Linked DNA regions of Canis lupus familiaris. The protein of the gene in region 3 interacts with the protein of the main gene of each other region in a pairwise test. Links are inferred from orthologs where the notes say so. Each region holds a gene or a part of one and is shown on either strand. Other genes may lie near its edges.

The links.
Region 1: the proteins of SALL2 (region 3) and ZMIZ2 interact in binary tests that used the Homo sapiens proteins (3 or more experiments, as listed by UniProt). The two-hybrid records come from large-scale screens. The link is inferred for Canis lupus familiaris from reciprocal best matches to the Homo sapiens genes SALL2 and ZMIZ2.
Region 2: the proteins of SALL2 (region 3) and CEP76 interact in binary tests that used the Homo sapiens proteins (3 or more experiments, as listed by UniProt). The two-hybrid records come from large-scale screens. The link is inferred for Canis lupus familiaris from reciprocal best matches to the Homo sapiens genes SALL2 and CEP76.

Annotation. Positions count from the first base shown.
Region 1 is NC_049237.1:14,026,138-14,030,964, forward strand, and holds the start of ZMIZ2 (zinc finger MIZ domain-containing protein 2), read right to left. Parts: upstream 3,290-4,827; 5' UTR 3,233-3,289; intron 2,945-3,232; exon of another isoform or gene 2,861-2,944; intron 2,235-2,860; exon of another isoform or gene 2,213-2,234; intron 1,834-2,212; exon of another isoform or gene 1,693-1,833; intron 1-1,692. UniProt on the Homo sapiens protein: Increases ligand-dependent transcriptional activity of AR and other nuclear hormone receptors.
Region 2 is NC_049228.1:78,180,413-78,185,486, reverse strand, and holds the start of CEP76 (centrosomal protein of 76 kDa), read left to right. Parts: upstream 1-1,785; 5' UTR 1,786-1,858; coding exon 1,859-1,921; intron 1,922-2,946; coding exon 2,947-3,102; intron 3,103-4,128; coding exon 4,129-4,210; intron 4,211-4,838; coding exon 4,839-5,063; intron 5,064-5,074. Other genes in the region: PSMG2 (proteasome assembly chaperone 2), read right to left, coding at 1,212-1,268. UniProt on the Homo sapiens protein: Centrosomal protein involved in regulation of centriole duplication. Required to limit centriole duplication to once per cell cycle by preventing centriole reduplication.
Region 3 is NC_049236.1:18,684,629-18,687,952, forward strand, and holds part of SALL2 (sal-like protein 2), read right to left. Parts: exon of another isoform or gene 3,315-3,324; coding exon of another isoform or gene 3,248-3,314; intron 2,876-3,247; coding exon 1-2,875. UniProt on the Homo sapiens protein: Probable transcription factor that plays a role in eye development before, during, and after optic fissure closure.

The DNA.
Region 1 (4,827 bases), on a different chromosome or scaffold from region 3:
AAGCAGGCGGCTACTGCCCGGCCCCACAAACTCACTCCCGAACACTCATCTCCCAGAAATGTAAACACGCGTTCACCCAGGAATGTGTGTGTGTGTGCTGCCGGCAGCGTCAGTGGGGACGGCCTGCAGGTGAGGGGCGAGCCCTTCAGGGGCCACCCACAGCCTGGGAGCTTGAGGGGAGGCGGCAGGAAGCCCCAAGAGACCACGCTGCGTGGAGAAAGCCAGTCCCCAAAGGTTACACACGGTAGGATTCCCTTTATGTAACATTCCTGAAATGATGGAATCCCAGAATGAAAAGCAGAGCACAACTGCCAGGTGGGGAGGAGGGAACAGGTGTGAACAGAAGGTGGGGAGGGAGTATCTGCATCTTGACTGGAGCCACGCAGCATCCCGGTGTGACGTTATCCTATCGTATTATAAGATGTCACCACTAGAGTAACCAGGTAAAGGACACACAGTTATTTCTTTCAGCTGCACGTGAATCTTTAATTCCCTCAAAATAAAAGTTTAATGAGAAAACCGCCGCCGCTTGGCCTGTTCTCTCCACTGAAATGCCCAGGGCCACCCTTCCCTACAACAAAGCTGGTGGGGTTGGCCAGGCCCACTCTGTGGTTACAGAAGCAAAGGGTGGGTGGAAGACGAGCCCCTGGCCAGGTGGGGGAGCACCACTGAGGACTCCCGCGGCCCCAGCTCCAGCTCCGGCGCATCACACACAACTGTAGGACTGGAACTGAGGACCCGCATCCCTAACGAGCCTGGGTGAGGATGCTGCCGCTACAGGGACCCCAGGTGGAGAGTGGGGGAGGCAGAGGCTACTGGTCTGGGGCCCCAGGACGACTCCTACATCACATGGGTCGGGGGAATTCCACCCCAAAGGCTGCTCTGCTATGGACGAGACCACAGAGATTTCCAGTTCCCCCTGAGCTGACTGCATGCATGGGTGTCTGGGTGTGCAGGGCGTGTGTGTGTGTGTGTGTGTGTGTGTGTGTGTGTGACTTCCTGCCAAACTAAGTCTGGTCTCCTCCTTGGGGAGACCTGCACTCTCCAAGTTGGGTACCCCATGGCCCTCTGCTCCCGACAAAGGGAGAGCCCTGCTCTGAATGCAAGACCCTCCTCTCACTTCCTGGCCTGAGAGGTACAGCTGGAGAAGCCCTGGTGTGTGTGTGCGTGTGTGCCTGAGTGCACGTGCGCACAAGGAGGCCCGAGCAGGCCTGAGGCGGGGGCCCTTCTGCTGGTCCGAGGCTCTGCTGTCCACAGCTCCAGCGGGAAGCCAGGACCCCTCGGCAGAACCGCCCTGGCACGTGGTTAGCCTGGAGCTTTCTCTGGGTTGGGTCACATCTCCCAGAAAGACGGCTACAGAAACTCGCTACTCAGACCCCCTCCCAGGGCCTCGGAGCAGCTGCACCCAGTCTCCTGGGTGCCAACCACAGGCAGACGTTAATGTGGGTCAGCTCTCTTGCACCTCTCCTCCGTCCCTGCCGCCTGGTCAGCCAGGAGCAGCACACCCCATGACAGGCCACCTGACCTCGGAAAGGCACGCCTGCTCTGTGGTCCTGGGGCAGGCACTCCGGCAGCAGGGAGCCTGTGCTTCCAGGGCACGTGTCCAAGCAGAGGGACACCCAAGTCTGATGGGCTTGGAGAAGGTGGAAATGGTGGCTCAGTGAGGCAGGACGACACAAGGGGGGGACTCACATGCTTGGATGGCTGGAAGTCCTGCTGCTCTCCACGTGAGGCCACAACACCGACCAGCCTAAGTGCTGGAGCCCATCTAAAGCACCCAGGAACGAGCACTTACGAAGGGCCTGGGTGCACAATGGGTACGTGGCAGCCACCCTAGGAAAGCGGAGGACACACACCTGCCATTCTGTGCTCAAACCCTGAGTCCTGTAGTGGACGCAGTGCCAGTGGACACTTCGTGAGGAAGTCGGGCTGTCCCTGGAGTCCTCCCCAGGCGCACCCTGCCTGCCTGTCATTACCTTCCTCCTCCCTGACCTCTGTCCCCTGCCTGTAACCAGCCCCTGGGCATGACCAGTCCTCAGGCCCAGTACCTGCTGGGGGAGGCCAGGCCCCCCTCTCACGAAGCCTGGATGGAGGCCCGAGGGCTCTAGCTCCCCAGGAAGCGGTGGCTGAGTCTGCTCACCCTCCCTGCATCCACCACCGTCCCCCAGATCAAGTCACACGTTCCGTGTATGCCCCTGCGAAACCGACTTACAGACGTGGCTGTGGATGGTCTGCAACCATCAGGAACAGAGCTGGGCAGGGACGGGCGCATCCGGGCCGGAGGGGAGCAAGCAGGAGGGAAAGGAGAGCGGGGCAGGGAGAGAGGCAAACGGGGGTCCTGGGAGAGGGCACCCTCCCGCCCCGGCGACGGCGCGGCTGGGACGAGGGGTGTCCCCTTAGAAACAACGGCGGGAGGCTGAAAGGTCAGCCTGCTCCGCCGGCCTCGGGCGGCCCCGCGGCCCCACGCCGCCCAGCTGGTGGGCGCGCACGGCCCAGAGCCAGCCCGGAGGCGAGCCCGAGCGCGGCGTGGCGGCGGCGCGGCCAGGCGGGGCGAGGGCCCCGGGCCATCCTCCCGGCTCGGGAGGTCGCCGGGGCCGCGCACACCCCTCGGGCGCCCGGCCGGCTTCCAGCCCACCCCAACAAAGGCTCAGGTGAGGGCCGCCCGCGCGCCGGCCGGAGGGCCCGAGAGCACGACGCGCACGCGGCAGGTGCGGCAGGTGGGCGGCGGGGCCGCCTCCACCCCGGCCCGAGCCCGGCAGAGGCGCCGCAGCGCGGGCCCCGAGCGCCGCACCTGCCCGCCGCGCGCACCTGCCGCACCTGCCGCCCCCGCCGCCCGCACCTGTCCACCCGGCCCGCTCACCTCCGCCCGGCCTAGCCCGGCCCCTCGCCGCCGAGGCCCCCGGCCCACGCCGCTCCATGCGCTCAGCCCGCCCTCCGCGCCGCCCGCCGCCGCGGGGCCGCCGCCGCCGCCACCCGCGCCATCGCGCCGCCGCCCGCTCCGAGGGCACAATGGAGCCGCCGCGCCGCTCATGCATATGCATGACGCCGCGCGCCGGCCCCGCCCCCAGGCCAGAGCAGTGGATCCCAGAGCCGGCGCTCGCGCGGGGCGGCCGCGGGCCTGCAGGAGCCCGGGCTGCAGGCCGGGCCGGGGGCGGGCCGGGGGCGGGCCGGGGGCGGGCCGGGCAGCGCCAGCGGCGGCGGACCACCACCGGCGCCCCCGCCCCCTCCACACCTGTCCGAAAGCCGTGTCTGCGGAGTCCCCCGCGCGCCCTGCAGCCTGCCACCGGGGCGGGGCCTGATGGAGGGGCGGGGCCTGGCGGAGCGGCGGGGGCGGGCGGCGGCGACGGGGCCTGCCGATGGGCGGGGCCTGTCAGGGAAGGGTGTCGGAGCCCGGCTAGGGGGCGGGGCCTGGCGGAGGGGGCCCGGTCGAGGGCGGGGGCGGCTGGAGGGGCGGGGCCTGAGTGCGGGCGGGGCGGGTCAGACGGAGGCCGGCCGGAGGACTGGGGGCGCGGGGGCGGGGCGCCAATCTGAGAGAGGCCGGGCGGAGGGGAGGAGCCCGGCTGGGGGCGGGGCCGGCCGGAGGGGCGGGGCCTCCCGGGGAGAGATGGGGCTTTCGGGGGAGGGGAGGGGAGGGGCCTGGCAAAAGGCCGGCCTTCCGGGGGGTAGGGCCTGGCTGAGGGCGGGGCCTCCCGGGGCCGGGGCCGGGGCCGGGGCCGGGGGCCGGGGGCCGGGGGCCGGGGGCCGGGGTCCGGGGTCCGGGAGGGGAGCCGGGCTGGCCGCACGTGCTGCTGCGGTCTCTGGGTCGCTGCGCCCCTTTAGCGGACCAAGCGCCGTTTCTTATCCGCTGGCTCCTCCACGTGCTACTATTACCCTTTAAGTCCTTTTTTCTGCCCTGGCTTTAGGGAGACCATGTTCTTCCAGTCACCCCACAATTCATGTTTTTTACTGTGCCAACTACACGTAAGAAAATGTATTTCAGGGCAGCCCGGGTGGCTCAGCGGTTTAGCGCCGCCTTGAGCCCAGGGCGTGATCCTGGAGCCCCGGGATCTAGTCCCACGTCGGGCTCCCTGCATGGAGCCTGCTTCTTCCTCTGCCAGTGTCTCTCTCTGTCTCTCATGAATAAATAAATAAAATCTTAAAAAAAAAAAAAAAAGAAAAGAAAGAACGAAAAGAAAGAAAAGAAAGAAAATATTTATGGTGCCAAGATCTTCCTCCAGGCTACAGTTCATTATGAGCATAGGATAGTATCTTAACTGGGCCCCTCGGTGGCTAAGTGTCTGCCTTTGGCTCAGGTCATGGTCCTGGGGTCCTGGGATCCAGCCCTGGGTCTGGCTCCTGGCTGGGTGGGGAGTCTGCTTCTCTCTCTGCTCCTCCCCCCGCTCACGCTCTCTTTGTCAAATAAATAAATGAAATCTTAAAAGAAAAAAGAAAAAAAAAGGAAAGTACCTTTACAAGAAAGATGCCCATCAGACACCACCTGGCCCAAAGGACCAAGTCAGCATGACCCTGTGTGGGACCCAATAATGTCTGTGCCCCTGGCGAGATGTCCAAGAAAGGACGCAGAGCCCCTCCTCCCCGCCTAAGTGGAAGTGACAACCATAAAGTTTTTACCTGGATCTACTCAAGACAAAGCCACACAGGGGGTAGCCTCCAGAGCTGGCCTGGATTGGAGAACTGCAGAAGCCTGGCTGGGGGAAGGGTCAGAGGAGACCAGGGATCCCAGGCCCCAGCTCGTAAGGCAGGCTGGACGTGGCAGGCTGAGTGCAGGCCACAGGGGGTGGGCTCCCCAGTGTGGCACCCTGGGGACCCGGGGGGGTTGCCCTGGTA
Region 2 (5,074 bases), on a different chromosome or scaffold from region 3:
TTTAATATCAATCAACCACATAGTCATAAATAACTCTCATAATGAGAACTTTTAAGATTTCTTCTCTTAGGGTGCCTGGGTGGCTCAGTTAGTGAAGCCTCTGCCTTAGGCTCAGGTCATTATCCAAGAGTCCTGGGATGGAGGCAGCCTACAGCTCCCTGCTCAGCGGGGAGTCTGCGTCACCCTCTCTCTTTCCCCACCCTCCTCCTGCTTGTGCTCTCTAGCTCTCTCATAAATGAATGAAATCTTCAAAAAATCTACTCTCTCAGCATGTTTCAAATATACTATGCAATACTTTGTATTATAGTCACTGCACCGTACGAGACATCCTTAGGACCTCTTTATAACTGGAGGTTTGTACCTTTTGACTGCCTTCATCTATCTCACTCAAGCAACTCTCATCCTCACCTGCCTCTGGCTACCGCCAACCCCTTCTCTGTGTCTTTATCTGAGGATTTTTTTCACCCCAGGCCCCGAGATTCCACATTTAAAGCTTTAACAGGTCTTTGCGTCCTTCCCCTCCCAGTAAGTCCTAGGATTCTTCTGTGTCCTTTCCAAAGTGCTGTCCTAGGGCAGCCCAGGTGGCCCAGCGGTTTAGCGCCACCTTCAGCCCAGGGCGTGATCCTGGAGACCCGGGATCGAGTCCGGCGTCGGGCTCCCTGCATGGAGCCTGCTTCTCCCTCTGCCTGTGTGTGTGTCTCATGAATCAACAGGTGAAGTCTTCAAAAAAAAAAAAAAAAAAAAAAAACAACAAAAAACCCAAAACCAAGCAGGAGTTAGTGACTGGCCAACATTGCTTTTATTACCTTATGCGTAGGTTTTTGGTTAACGACCAAATAACGAATGACTTAAAGTCTCGCCAGCTTAAGAATGGCTCTGATTTTAGCTAAAAAAAGATTTTCGAGGATACAATGAAAAGAAAATGGCCCGCACGACCTGCGTCGCACGTTACCCGAAACCAGCAAACACGCTCCGTGTGACAGCGAAGACCAGAGTCCAGTCTCGGAGACGCCCGGGGACGGCGGCCGCCGAGTAACCAGAGCGCCGCCCCCGGCGACCACCCTCCTCCGCGCGGGCCGCAAACCCGAAACCCGCAGGTGCCGGCGGCGTCCCGCGTCCCGGGACCGGAGAACTAGCCCCACCCACGGCGCCGGCGGCCCCCAGGCGCCCCCCACGGCCGGCGCCCCGGAGCTCGCGGAACGGGGACTCACCATGAGAAGGGTGTGGCCCGCGAGGTCGGGGACCGAGTCTCCGCAGGGGACAAACATGGTGGCACAGAGGGCGGGAGGACAGGCAAGGCCGAGCGCGGGCCCAGGAGGCCGGGGGCGGGGGCGGACCCGCGAGCGCCGCGCCAGGTCTGGCAGCGCGGTCCCCAGCGCGGGGGGCGGGGCCACGGGGCGGGGGGCGGGGCCACGGGGCGGGGGCGGGGCCCGGGCCGCCGCTCGGCGTGGGGTCCTGCGGGGCCAGTCCAGCTCCGCGCCGGTCCGCGGTGCGCGAAGGGCCGGGCGCCGGGGGAGATGGGGGCGGGCAGTGCGGGCGGAGACCCCCGCGGGGCAGGGCGGCGGGGAGCGTGGGCTGGCGCGGTGGGCGTCCCCAGGCCGGGAGCGGAGGCGGACGTGGTCAGGCACGGACGGGGGCAGCCCGCGCCCCGGCAGTCCGCGCCGTTTGAAAGCCACGGTTGAGCGCCGCCGCCGCCGCCGCCTCGGCTCCCGCCCAGCCGCGGCCCTGACGCGGCGCCGCGCCCCCCGGGAGCTGCGCGAGGCCGAGCGGTCGGCGGCTCCGCCCCGCGGCTACTGGCACCCCGGGGCCGGCCGGGCGCGCCCGAGGCGGGGGAAGCGCGGCGAGCGGCGGCCGCAGCATGTCGCTGCCTCCGGAGAAGGCCTCCGAGCTGAAGCAGCTCATCCACCAGCAGCTGAGCAAGGTGAGGGTCCGGCCCTGGCGCCGCCCGCCTGGCGTCCCGGGCGAGGCCGACGGCGGCGCGGGCGGGGGGCTCCGAGTGTGCAGCCCGGGCCGCCTCCAGCCTCGGCGAAGGGCAGCCTCAGCCGCGCTGAGGAGGAGGCGCTCACCCCGCGGCTTCGGGGTGCCAGGCCGAATACCAGCTGGGCTGCAGCAGATGTATGTTCGGAGGGTAGGAGTGAGAGTTACTTTAAGGGTGAAACTCGTGTCTTGAAGTTGAGCCAGGGGGACGTTCCTGAAGGTCTGCACGGAGAGTGCTTGCGGCCCTTCGGAGCCCAGCGAGAGCCCCGAACGCAGGGAGCTGAAGCCCTGAAAGCTGCCGTTTGCTGTGCACCTGTATGCCAGGTCCCGTGCTCAGTGTAAAGCATCTTTGACCTGAGCCTGCAGTAATCTTTTCCAGACTCATGCAGGGTAAACGGATCAACTCAGGGTCACGTCTCATAAGCTCAACGTTGAAATTCATACTCTGATCTCCTAGTCCAGGTCTGTGTTCTCTTGCGTATACTACACTCCCAATAGGCCTGTTTTCGTTGAATGTTATTTGTGGGGAAATGGTAACAAAGGTAGTAGATAGCCAGTAGAGATTATTTCTAGAATTTGTGCTAAGAGAAATTTAGGATGAAATAAAAGTCTTAGCTTTATTCTCATTGAATTCTAGCGATAATTTTACACTTACTATTAGCTTGAAAAGCCGTCTTGAATTTTGTCCACTCTCCCATTATTGTTTTTTAGATATTTATTGATTCCTGAGACACACAGAGGGAGAAGCAGGTCCGCTGCAGGGAGCCCGATGTGGCACTCGATCCGATCCCGGGACCCTGGGGTCACGCCCTGAGCGGAAGGGAGACGCTCAACCGCTGAGCCCCCCGGGTGCCCCTAGTACTCTCCCATTATTTTTTTTTTCCTTTGGGTGCTTTAGAAAGAAATTAGCTAATTGGCAATGTTTGTCAGCTTTATAAACGTGAGTTATATTGCAAGTTTTCTACATAGATGGATGTCCATGGCAGAATAAGAGAAATCCTTGCAGAGACAATACGGGAAGAATTGGCACCTGATCAACAACAGTTATCAACGGAAGATTTGATCAAAGCCCTTAGACGTCGGGGAATCATTGATGATGTGATGAAAGAACTTAATTTTGTTACTGTGAGTAGTTTGGTGGGGAAGAATTTTGAGAATATGTTCCTGGGCATAATGCTGCTTATTGGGTCCATATTTGGGGCCTGTTTTTAGTAAAATCACTTTAAAAGGCCATTTTTGTCTGGTAATATCCTTACTATAAGTTCACTCTACCCTTGAATGTAGCAAGTGGGATTATGTATCAATGAGATTGGAGTTACATACCATATTTCTCTTTACAGTGACAGAATTTTCTGTTGTTATTCCCTAGGTCTGTATCTGTAAGTATACATATTTTAGTGAAATTAGTTCACCATAACCTAGTTCTTTTTCGCAAGTAGTGTTTTATAATTTTTTTTAGATTAGGCATATTTTTTAAATACATTGTTTTAGAACTTCATTCTCTGTGATTAACAGATTATCAAATTTTTAAAGAAAATAATTGTGTAAGAACCTTCAAATCTCTTTATACAAATAGGTCGGTAGTGAGATGATAAGCCTCCGTGCACAAAATAGTAAGTGGGCCTTCTTTTGAAAATGAGGCAATAATGAGAAACTGTGACCTAATAATACATGAGTAGTATAATGTAAAAATTGGATGGAGTGCATAATACATCAGGGAATAAGTATTTTAATACAGCCTCCTTTTTTGGTTTTTGAGGTTTATAAACCCATTTGTTTGAAAATTGACCCAGTAACAGCTTCTGCTGTGTGAATGTCATTTCCTTATTAAAATCAGTTCATGGTAGAATCATAAGCCAAATGTCATATTAGGTTTAGAAAAAGTTTAACCTTGTTTAAGGTATTAAGGATTTGTTAATAGCATTCTGTGGACACTGAAGACAGTTTATTTCCTTATTAAAGTTTAGGAGTGACCAGTTCATCAACTCTTTTCATTATTTTAATTATGCTGGGAAAATAAGAGTTTCCTTGAGGGGGCTTTATCCTGTATACTTCTGTTTAGTTCTTAGTCCCACCCATTGTTGATGTTTCTTTGCTTAGCTATAATTTTTGTTTTCTAATTTGTTTTCATCTTTTTTCCCACCTTTCTAGGACAGTGTTGATCAAGAACTACCTTCCTCTCCAAAACAACCTGTTTGTTTTACTGATAGACAATCAACGTTGTTAAAAAAAAGTATGTATATTTCTTTTAACATTGATTTCGTTTTGCACCGTACTACATATTGATGTGCTGTAGTGTTTGGTATTTGATGAAAACCATTTTTTTCCTTCTCGAATGAGATTCTTACCATTTTTGTAATTAATCATCCAAAAAACTTAGATTCTGTTTTGCACCAAGTTGTGTATGTCAGAAGCTTTAGTATATCACAGAGTGGAAGCAAAAACAGAATTACCTGTTTCTCATGTTTTAATAATATGTTTTATAAACATTGTACAGCTTTGCTTTTTTAACGGTAATTGCCTAAAAAGTACACTTGCTGAGTTTATATTTGTTTGGTTTGGCTTTGGCGGTGAAGGCGTGTTATTAGATAAGCACCTGAAGAGCAAAGGTTTCTTAAGCCTTGGCTCTGACTCTTTTCTAGCTGGGAGAAAGTACCCAGAATATAAAAACTCCGATAAAAATATATCTTATTGTGTATGTTTTCTTTCTTGGTTTCAAATGGTCCTGGTATACAGTAAATTTGTTACTTTTTTAATTTAGTCTTTGGTTTTATTTCTGTCAAGTTATTATTTCCTATTGTCTTGATCACATTCCTTAAGTTGTTTGGCAGTTTCCTCATATATATTGCTACACTTTACAGCTAATATTGATCCAACACGGAGGTATCTTTACCTTCAGGTTTTGGGTGGAAAAGCTTTCTTGGAACATCTACAAGAACCTGAGCCTTTACCTGGACAAGTTTGTTCAACCTTTACTCTATGTTTACATTTTCGAAACCAACGTTTTCGTTCTAAACCTGTTCCATGTGCCTGTGAACCAGATTTTCATGATGGCTTTTTACTTGAAGTACACAGAGAAAGCTTAGGTAAGGAGCAA
Region 3 (3,324 bases):
GAAGTGATGGAAGGTGAGCAGCCTGGGACCAGGGAAAGAGCAGCAATATTCTGAGGGCCGTGGGGGGCAAAGGGTTGTACCTGGTGGTGAGCCAGCAGCATGTGCTTCTTGAGGATGGCCCGCTCGAGAAAGCTCTGCCTGCAGAAAACACAAGTGAAGAGCGGCCCTTCCCCGGGGTGGGCCTTCTGCGGCTCCTCCAGGGAGGTCTGCGCGCACAGCTCGCATGCCTTCCGGCCACTGCCATCGCCCGCCTCCTTCCTCCGCGCCTCCGGGGCGCCCAGCTCCTCCCCAGGGTCGCCGCCGCCGCCTTCCCCCTCCCGGGGCCCCTCCCGGGCCGCCGCTGCCTCCGCCTCCGCCTCGCCCCGCTCCTGCTCCTGCGCGCCCAGGGCCGCGGCCGCGCCTCCCTGCTCCGGGGGCTGCGTCTCCTCGGGGCGCTCGGGCGGCGGCGGGGCGGCCAGGCAAGGCTGCTGCGCCCCCTGCTCGTCGCCCTCCGGCCGCGGCCCGGCCTGCCCGGCCTGCCCCGCCACCGCCGCCGCGGCCCCCACGTCCTCCTCGGCCCCGGAGGCCTCCTCCGAGTCCCCGCGCACCGAGATGGCCTTCTCGCCGCCGCTCTCCGAGCCTCTCCCCGCCAGGGAGTCTTCGTCAGTCCCGTCCTCGTCGTCGTCCTCGTCGTCGTCCTCGTCCTCCGACAGCTCCTCCTCGGGGGACGGCTGCTGGGACGGCGGCTGCGGGCCGGGCCCGGGAACGGCGGGGAGCTCGGCGCCCTGGTCCGGGGCGGCGGCCCCGTTGGGGATCTGGCCCCCCAGGTGCATGCGGACGTGCTGCTGCAGGCTCACGGCGTTGGTGAACTTCTTCTGGCAGATGGGGCAGGAGTTCTGGGCGCGGGCGGCCGGGCTGGCCTTGTGGCCCACGAAGTGCGCGCGCAGGTTGCCCCGCGTGGAGAAGGCCCGGCCGCACACCTTGCACTTGAAGGGCCGCTCGCCCCCGTGCTGCCCGTAGTGCAGGCGCAGTGCGCGCGGGCAGCTCAGCACCCGCAGGCAGATGACGCACTGGTTGGGGCCCGAGGCGGCGGCCGAGGCCGTGGGCCCCGAGGCGGGGGGCGCCCCAGAGGTCGCGGACGACGGGGCGCCGGCCCCCTGCCGGTCGATCTTCTCCACCAGCTGCTGCAGCTTGGACGTCTCAGACGGCGAGGCCCCCAGAGGCTCCAGCACGTAGGGGAAGGGAAAGCCGCCTGCGGACTTGAAGTGGCTGGTCAGCAGCGCCCAGCTGGGCAGCGAGGTCACCAGCTTGCTCAGCTGCAGGCGGGCCGCCGGGCCCCCCTCCGCCACCCCGGCCGTGCCTGAGCCCTCGGCGCCGGGGGGCGTGTTTTCGTCGGCCTTGCTCTTCGGCTCGACGGCCTTCATGAGCACGAACTTGTTGAAGGCAGGGAGCGCGGGGGTGGCGGCTGCGCCCGCCCCGGTGGACAGCAGCGTGAGGCTCTCGGTGGCGCTGAGCGCCGCGCTGGAGGCCGCCAGGGGCTTGCGCTCCCCGCCGCCGGCCGCCGCGGCCACCTCCTCCTCGGCCTTCTCCGGCGGCACCGACATACCGTAGGGCAGGCCGCTGCTGGTCAGGACGTAGTCCAGGTGCTCGGGCACCGGATGCGGATTCATCTGCACGTGCGGGTACTTCTCGCGATGTCGGTGGAAGTGCACCTTGAGGTTGCCGCGCGTGGTAAAGCGGTTGCCACAGACATTACACTTATAGGGCCGCTCACCTGTGTGGGAACGCAGATGGATCTGCAGTGCACTGTCACTACCGAACACTTTAGCACAGAAGCGGCATTTGTGCCGGCCGCCGGGCTTCTCCAGGGGGCCCATCACTTCCCCGTAGCCCAGCTCACCGCTTCCGTTCTTTGGCTTCAGCAGCCCCGGGGAGGCGGCGGCCTCGAGGCCCCGAGCCGCGCCCAGGCACTGCGCCGCCAGCAGCCCCGTGGCGCCCGGGAACGCCAGGTGCGGCGAGGCCATCAGCGGCTCCGCGCTGCCGGACAGGGCTGCGGAGGCGGCGGCGGCCGGCTTGTGGCTCCGCCCGGCGCCCCCGGTGGGGAAAGCGGGCTGCGCCCCCAGCGGGTGGTACAGATGGAAGAACGCCTGCTTGGGCGCTTCGGCCCCTGAGGACGACGACGACGACGAGGAGGAGGACGGCGCCAGCGTCTTGCCGCTTTGCACAGGCTTGATGGGGCTGAAGAGGGGCAGCAGGGGCTTCGCGGAGGCGGCGGGCCCCGTCCCGGGCAGCTCGGAGGGGCTGGCGGGCGTGCCCGCGGCCTGGCCCAGGGAGCCGAGTAGCAGCACCTGGCGGCAGATCTGCTCCGTCATCTGCATCTGGTGGATCTGGCGCTGCTGCAGCACCCGCAGCTCCTCCAGGATCAGCGGGATGTTCAGGTGGCCGCTGCCCACCCCCGGGGGCGGCGGCGGCGGCGGGGGCGGCGGGGGCGGCGCGGGGGCGGATTCGGGAGGCAGCGGGGTCGCTCCCAGCTTGGGACTGGCCAAGATCAGGCCCCCGCCGCCCCCCGCGCCCGTGCCGGTGGCGTTGACCAGGAAGTGGCCCGCGGGCTCCTCCACTCTCCGCTCCGGGGCCCAGCTGGGGTCCGCGGGCGCGGCGCCCCCGGGGGCCGGCGGGGTGCTGTGCTCGGCCTCCATGACCTGGGGGCTCCTCCGACCCTCCGCCCGGGGCTCGGAAGACGTCGCGGAGCTGCTGGGGTTCTCCTGGCCCCCGATTATCACCATGACAGGGGGCTCGGTAGAACACGCATTCTGGTGCGCGAGGAATTCGGCTGGGTCGGTGAACTGCGCGCAGCACTTGGCGCAGACCTGGGGGTGGTCGTCCTCGCTGGCGTCGCCTGGGGGGGAGACAAGAGAGCGTGGGTGGCGCGGGCGCGGCGGGCGTGCGGGGGTTCCGACTGGCCCCGGGCCCGGGGGGGGGCTCGCCATCAGGCCGCACGGGACGCCGGCTCGCGCTCCACCGGGTGCACGCGGAACAGCCCGGCGTGGGGCGGGTGGGGGAGGGGCGGGCGCGCTGCGGCTCCTGCCTGGCTCCTGCCTGGCTCCTGCCGCCCCGGCCGCCCCCGCCCCCGCCCCCAACCCGGGCACCGCGGGCGCGCGGACGGGGGTCTGGACACAGAATCCAGCATTCCCCCTCCCCGCCGCGAAAGCCCCCCCCCGCGCGCGCCCTCCGCCCCCCCCCCCCCCCCCCGGGCAGGGCCCTACCGCACCTCCGGGCTCCGCCGGCTCCCCGCAGGGCCCCCCGAGGCGAGAGCTCCTCCCGGTTTCGTGCGCCATGGCTGCGGGG